Linked DNA regions of Drosophila melanogaster. The protein of the gene in region 1 interacts with the protein of each later gene in a pairwise test. Each region holds a gene or a part of one and is shown on either strand. Other genes may lie near its edges.

What was found.
Region 2: the proteins of CG8840 (region 1) and hoe1 interact in a two-hybrid assay, tested with the Drosophila melanogaster proteins (one large-scale study listed by BioGRID).

What each region holds. Positions count from the first base shown.
Region 1 is NT_033779.5:3,408,841-3,411,880, reverse strand, and holds CG8840 (uncharacterized protein), read right to left. Parts: upstream 1,322-3,040; 5' UTR 1,192-1,321; coding exon 775-1,191; 3' UTR 682-774; downstream 1-681.
Region 2 is NT_033779.5:4,929,102-4,934,054, forward strand, and holds the start of hoe1 (hoepel1), read right to left. Parts: upstream 3,284-4,953; 5' UTR 2,992-3,283; coding exon 2,813-2,991; intron 1-2,812. Other genes in the region: hoe2 (hoepel2), read right to left, coding at 4,184-4,858, 4,911-4,953.

The DNA.
Region 1 (3,040 bases):
AACAGACGAAAAACAAGATTTCTGGGCCCATGATGGCATGTGGCATAAACAATATCTATTTTCTATCTGGGTTCGAGTTCAATGGTCACATTGTTGGCTTGTTTTTCAGCCAGCCGACGGAAGGGGCATATGTCAATATTTTTGGTTTCGAATGGCGTGCAGAGACTTTTAATTGAATTCTGTTGTTTTTTGGTGTTTTTTTGATTCTGGGAGTGGCGCCCAAAAAAAAAAAATAAACTCTGATTTGTAAGGCAGCAAAAGAAACGGAAAACACGAAACAGATTGCAATAAATGATAAAGTTTGGTCCAATCGCCTCTTCGCATTTTCTTGCATGCTCTATGGGAGAAAACTAAATTTGATACGTTCCAATTACTAAATTATGCAGTTAGGAGCTCTTTCGATGTGAAAATCATTCACCTGGAAGACTGCACACACCCAGACCATGGAGAAGTGGGAAAAACACGAAGACCCAACTGAAGATTAAAGAAATCGCCGCTCTACTATCGCCCAAAACAAACAGAAAACAGAATAAAACCAAATAATGGTTAGGCTTGAGTGATTATGGAGGAGATTATAAAAGCAAATTAAATTTGCAGAGAGACTGCAATAGAGGAAAGTAGGAAAATTGTCACTCAACTTAGTAACCCAAGTTGCTCAAATATTCTAGCAAAACTGCGCTTGATTTTCAATTTGTATATATTTAACTCACATACCAACTATTTAGTATAAACCATTGGTTTATGAAAGACGGAAAGTATTAAATTATGCTAAATCTAGTCGGCGTGCTCGCCATGGCCAAGTTCCTCGCAGGCCCGCTTCTCGGCCCCAATCTCGGCCAGCATTTTCTGGGTCTCGCGGGCCAAATTGACCAGGTTGTGGAGCCTGGTCTCCAGGGTATAGATTCGCCTTTGCTGGGCTTCGATAAACCTCCCATAGCGATTGTTGACCTCCAAACGGGACTCGGCCAGATTACGCCAGTAGTCTATGTCCTTCACCTCATGAAATGATGATGCCTTCTTGAGGTTTCCGATCAGAGTCATTATAACTTTGGCCAGGGATCGAAAGGAGACGCGAGTTGATCTCTTGTGTGTCCTTGGAACTGCCTGGGATGCCAGCGACTTGGATATAATGTCATCGATAACAGAATCGGCGGAATAGTCCGATTTCAGGGTCAGCTCCATGGAAGCCATCAAAGAATTCAGCTGCAAGTACGGAACTTGATCAGAGTTCAAATAGAAATCTTACTAATTTTGAAAGTATTTTGTATTGTCTTATGTAGTACAGTAAGGTATACTGTAGAAATCAGGCAGATATCCTATTCAAAGCCTGCTGTGCTATAAAAATAATCTGAAAAACAAAGTTCCTTTAAATCTACATAAATATATAAATGCATCATTGGTATCCTTTTAAGTATTTATAGCAATTTAATGGAGTTAGCCATTCGCAGATTATTATCTTTGCTCACAAATCATCGAAATGGCCAAATAAAGACAAGCTTCATCAGAACGCCATAAAATCGTATCACAATTTCCATATTTTCTCTGTGACCCCAAGCAAAAAAACAACAATCAATGCCATCCAATGGCTATGAACTCAATTCAAAACAATTCGTTTTTCTTTGCTCTTTCATCTGAATTTGGCTGGAAACATTGAACTCGAGCAGTAAACCCAGTGATGACCATTTATAGCAACTTGTTGCTCTGGTTTAGCATGACGCCAAAGTTGATGATAGTTTTTTATTTTTTTTTTTGCCAAATTGTAATAACAAGTCGCAGAAAACTAGAATTTGATGAGTGCCAAGTAGTTGATTTGGAGTCTTGACTTTGACCTTTTGAGTGGGCAAAAAGTTTCGTCTTTCCCTTTTGACGTCAGTGGCATAATTTTCCAGTCATTACTCTCCCGAGGATTTCCATAAATAGATACTATTTGCAGCGAGACTTGTTCTTCCCAAAGGACAAATAAATTTGCAAATGGAGAGGAAAGTTTGCATTTTTATCGTCCACCATTCTGTGATAAAAATAACTCAGCGAATTGAGTCGGATTTCTGATTAATTACAATAGCTCTGGCTCATTTGGCAATACGACTAACCAAAGGTTGCAGCTGCAATTTTCTGGATTACAAAGCGTTTCCGTTGGCTTAAAGCTTAGTGCTCACGCTGCGTATGCGTAATGCGTATGTGGTGGCCTATGCGAGAAATGAGGACACCACCCTCGAAGTGTTTGACATGTGAAGGCGAAACTGCTAAGGAGTTGCAGTAGGGGGTCATGATATTGAAACCATATTAATGTAAGGCGGAACGCTTTGAAAGCGAATTCTACGAACGATTATTTTCAAGGCCAAGACGAAGTTATTTTCGGGATATGTGGCCTTCTATATAAGTAAATATAATTACAGGGAACAAGCTCTATCCATTTATTTTCGTTTAAGTCTGAAAAGGTCTGCCAGTTAAATCCAAAGAATCCAACATCTGCTACGCAGCCAACCTTTTACAACTACTTGGCTGGCTAACTGACCCAGCTAAATTGACAAATGAATCATTTCACTCCGCTAAACAGTGACCGAATTTAGGAGGTCCTGGAAGAGGGTCCTTATATCACGGTCGGTTATTAATTGCCCTTTTGCGTTGAATCTATTTGTCAAGAGTTTTGTCAGAAGCTCCTTTATCGGCGGCCCTCTAACTCTGATTTATGTGTGGCAAACGTATTGAAAGCGATTTCCTTTCTTTTTTAGCTGACTTTGGCACTTTGCGTTGCACGTTGCGTATGCGTGATTTTAATTTTAAGTGGAGCCACTTTTTTTTCTGGCTCTTTGTTGCCTGCTTTTATGGGTCTTTCTTAGCCTGAAATATGTTGCCTTTTAGCTGAAAATTTGGAAGGCGTATTCAACACTAAGCTTACCCTTTATTATATTTGAATGTGCTTTTTATGCATAGCTTTCTTTGACACGCCAGATTTCGCTCGACAGCTCTTCCATTTAAAATGTTTCGTGCTTCATCGAGCTTGCCATTATAAATTATTTACTTTGAATGTCCTCAAGCT
Region 2 (4,953 bases), 1.5 Mb from region 1:
TAGTCATGGAAATGAGACGATACAGCATTTACGAGTATGTAACTAAGAGAATCACGCCGAAAGCTCTCGAGGCTTTCTCAGAAACGAAAGTGAAATCTGCAGAAAAAGGCAGCTTTATCAAATTTAAGGCCGTCCGCTTGTTTATTTATAGGCCAAAGTTGATAAATCCCACTGAAGCTTCCAATTCCGACAATATAGACGTCCACGCGCGGTTCCATTTGCATGTGTGGTTTGTGTGCCACATTCTCGTACGTTTTTGTATCTTCTGTATGGGCAGACAAAAGGCGAGTTTATCAGCAAACAGCTTCTGCTGTGCCCCAACTCAATCCAAATGCGAGACCCAATCCGAATCCCAAAAACCCTAATGCCACGGACAATGAAACGCAAACACACTCCAAGGAACTCAAAGTGAACTCGTGTATATATATATTATTTCTCGCCACGAGCCGTTTGACATTTGAGCGACTTTAAAGCTGGAATATTAATGCTCTTTTATTCCGCAATTTTCCTCACCCACATTCAATAAGACGATGGCAATAATAGTAATAATAACGCTGATGATATCCACAGTGAGACGCAATAGGTGTGTTTCTTCCAATAACAATTGTATCTTCGCCCAAGGTCTCTGCGGCTTATCCATCTGAATAATATGGGGCATGGGTGCAGTTGATTCGGAGTTATATGGGTTAAATGCTATCAGCAGTTACTTTCTCTTAACATTTCCGTTCTTAATACATTAATATAGTTGGTTGAAAACTGTAATACCACATAAGCCAAGCTATTGAGTACATTCCATTTCATAATAACAACTAATACATAATTCATTTCCACTCAATTGTGCCTCAAAGGTTGGCCCCCATAGAGACACATAGTACATTCCAAATTCAAGCCGGAACTTTTACAGCCCCTAAGCTCATCCCTTGGCAACCAGAAAAAGTGTATTTACAGTTTGTTGGAAAATTGTGAGCGGAAAACCCTCATGTACAGGGATAGTTATTCGCACCTCCTTCATGCCACCAAGCTACCCACCCAACAAACCATTGACAAGTTTCCACACATATCTCTACATACATATATGTATGTCATCGTGGGACCACCAAACTTGGGTTGCATGTTCCGTGGAGGGATCACGTGGTTCTGGGTGGACTTGAAACTACTGAATGACTTTTCATTTGCTTGTCAGAAAGTCAGCGTAAAAATGGGCAGCCACATCAAAGTGTTTAGCTGTCAGTGCGAATAACTTATAGCCCATAATCCCAACTGTATTTAACCCTTCCCTCTTTTCTTTAGTATCCATAAACTTTGCCAATTGGCCAACGGCAATTATCGATGTGTTAGCTGTAATTACTTGGTATCAGCCAATGCAAAAATGCAAATTAATTGCAACCAATATGCATACAGTACTTAGTGGATTCTACACATGGTCAAGACGTAGATGTATACAACAAATGCTCAGCGTGAGTAAATAAACAATAATTATGTAAATAACGAGCGCTTATATAATAAGCTAAGCTCACTTCAGGTTTGATTGTCAAGAATATGTCAAATGGAAACAGGGTGTCCCGGAAACTAGTTATAAGAAAAATCGTTAAGTTTATATAAATATATCATTTTCTGTATGAAATTCTGTTGCTTATTGTACATATTTTGTTGTTTATTATTCGTTGTTTATGAATGCTTTATAATGCTCCCAAGTATGTAAGTCGACTCCACACACCCTGTATATTTATGAGCAGCCTTCTCTATTGCAACCAAGTGTAACTGCGCTATAAACCAGAGAACTCAGTGATTTACCGTCTCGAGTTTTCCCTTTAATTGTTAATTAACAAGGCGGAACTTTTAATTGAGGACCAACTGCGTATGTAATTCGCATTACCCTAGGTTTTCACTACACCGATAATTTTTGTGTGGGAGTGAGTGCACTAATTTGAATACGACACTTAATTCGAATGCTTAACTTAATACAAAAAAACCTACAAACAGCTGCGGAGGCTGCTGAACCACGTATTTGCCAACGGAAATAGAGAACTATAAATAAAATAATATAATGCAACGCAAGTCAATATTTATTCCCCATTGTTTATTTATAATCTCCACATTGCACTGCGTACTTCAGTTTATTTTGCACGTGTCCAAGGTATTACATTATCGATTATAAGCAACCTATATCGAATGGTAGTTCCCAGAAGCGAATTGCTCGAACAAAAGATTGGCTTGGATTGGAAATGGGTATATGCCAACTATTCTTCGAATTATTCACACAAATTGCATACAACAATACCTTCGTGCCTGGCATTTTGTTATAACCACAAGCTAATGGAAAAAATCCCTAACAAAACAAAAACATGATTAATTCGGATTAGGAGTATCATTTCAATCAGAGTTTCGAAGAAAAGCGCATTTATTACTCTGCTGGAATTCCAACGCATATGGAGTATGAAATATACAAACTGCTGTGTCTGCTTCAACTAAAAAACAAATAAATTGTAATCAATCTCAATGGAAACCATCTGTTGCGGCTCTCAGCGGCTTAAAATCCACAAAATGTCCTCGAGTTGATTTCATCTCGGAAAACAAACAAGTCGCAACCAATGGACCGTTATTAAGAAGCTTAGCAGGACATTAAAAGGAAAAGTTTTGGGTCCATCATCTCCTGCAGCACAATTTAATGCCAGGCTAATGAGAAAACGGAACCGGGCAAATAAACAACTCAAACTTCGAGTGGCGGTGGCCAACCGGGCGTATACTTAATATCAATATAAGCTGACTTGCATGGGCCACCCGCGGCGTATACTTGATGCGGCCGACTTACCATTTGCTGCGATGCTTGGCATTCAAGTGCAGCCAACTGATGATCTCCTGCAGCTTCGTCTGACGCTCCTCATCCTCATCCCGATCGTCGTCGTCATCACCCGGCTGCAGATGATACGGATCGCGAGTGTGGTCCGTTATCATAAAGGTGGGCTTACTGTATCCATAGGGAGATGTCATCTTGGTTCACCTTACAAAAAAAAAAACCAACTCGATTTCGGCGTAATTTCGTACGCTTATCACATTTTTATTTGGCCTGCAGGGCGGCCAGTCTGGGCCAAATAAGCCAATTTCCAATTTTCACTTTATTCCTTGGCGCAAATTAATTAAAATTCAGTCAGTCGTTGTCGGCACGACTTTCCCTCTCGCGGCTGCCATAAAACTGCTGGCAGTCTCCTCTCCACATGGCGGACAGGTCGGGTCCTCCGTTTCACCTCCTCCATTCGCAATCCCTCGTGGCCATTTGTTTGTGAACTTAAAATACAATTTACCTATGGAACGAGCGCTGTGGAAAGTGTGGAAAGCGCAGCAGTAGCAGAGCAAATAAATAGCAACAACCACCCGAGGAAATCCCTCGCTGCTTTTCCACATTGTCTTATTCTCATTTATTGACCAGCAGTTGTCTTCTTTCCATATACTATATGCTATATACTCGCTTTTAATATATATGTATATGTACATGCAAGCACTTTCATATGCGGATATTCTGGTCAACATTGAACTTGGCAATGGTCAGTCTCAGGAATTATTTACGTTTGTTTATGTTTTCCAAACCAAGGTGCATATGGGATAAACTAGAAAACACGAGAATTATGATATTTATAATTTAACTTATTATATGTTTATATTGTGCTTTGAAATCTCTAAAATACAGACATCGCTTCGAATTTTAAATGTATCTAAATACTTGTAGAACTGCCTCTTATTGAAATTTGAAAATCAAATCTATAATTTTCCTTCGTTTTGTATTTATGGCCTGTTGAATTTTCACGATTTCCCCACTTCGACCTTAGACAATAAAGTCTAAATTTATAACATTTCACACGACATTAAAAACACCGCCTTGATGGACTACCAAAAGTGATTTCCATCAGTCCAGCCAAATTCCACGAAGGCGAACGAAAAACCATGTGTACTTTTATATTTATGGTATATTTTTATACATTTGCCAATCACAAATGAACGCTTAAATATAAATATTCTTATTTTATATGCCAAAAACACATGAAACACATCAAGAGGCGAATGTAAAAGGACAAAGACTACAGTAAAACTCACACAAAAAAACACACGATTAGATTCGAAGTGAAAAACATTTTCCATCATTAGATACAATAATATGTTATTCAGTATGTGTATTAAATAGGGAGTCTCAATGCCATTCAAAGACCACATGCGCCACCAGTAGATAGACAGTCATCAGGGTGATCTGTCCCAGCATCATGGGAAAAACTGTTCTCAGATATCGGGTGAAGGACAACTTATAGCCATGTTGCTCGGCAATTCCGGCTGCAATGACATTGGCTGATGCGCCATAGAGCGTTCCATTTCCGCCCATCGAAGCGCCCAGGGTCAGAGCCCAAACCAGTGGCTGGAGGGGCAGTCCCAGCGATGGCTTGGCCACCAGAGAGGTCACCAGCTTCACCATTATGGCTGCCACCGGAATACTATCCAATATGGATGATGCCAGCGCCGACATCCATAATATCATAAAGATGGCCATGGCCAGACGATGACTCTTTCCCACCGAAAGGATAACGTGCTCGGTGAGCTCACTGATGCAGGCGAAGATTCCCAATCTCTCCACGCATTCCATCATCACGAACATGGCGGCGAAGAAGAGCAGCGTGGTCCACTCGATGCGGTGCATCAAGTGCTCCATGTCATCGCGATTGAGGATGATCAGCAGCAGGATCACACCCAGCAGGGCCACCCAACCCAGGGGTAATGTCCTCCAGTGCGGCACGGATTGGATGAAGAAGCAAACAATGACGAAGAGTAGGGCTCCAGCGGATTGCAAAAGCAGCGTCTTGTTTTTGATGGGGTACTGGAAATGGATTGCTCAGCTATAAAGATCCCAGTTCAGTAAATCCACTTACTTTCTGCTTGAGCTCGTCCAGCGTATTCGTATAGACCTCCGTG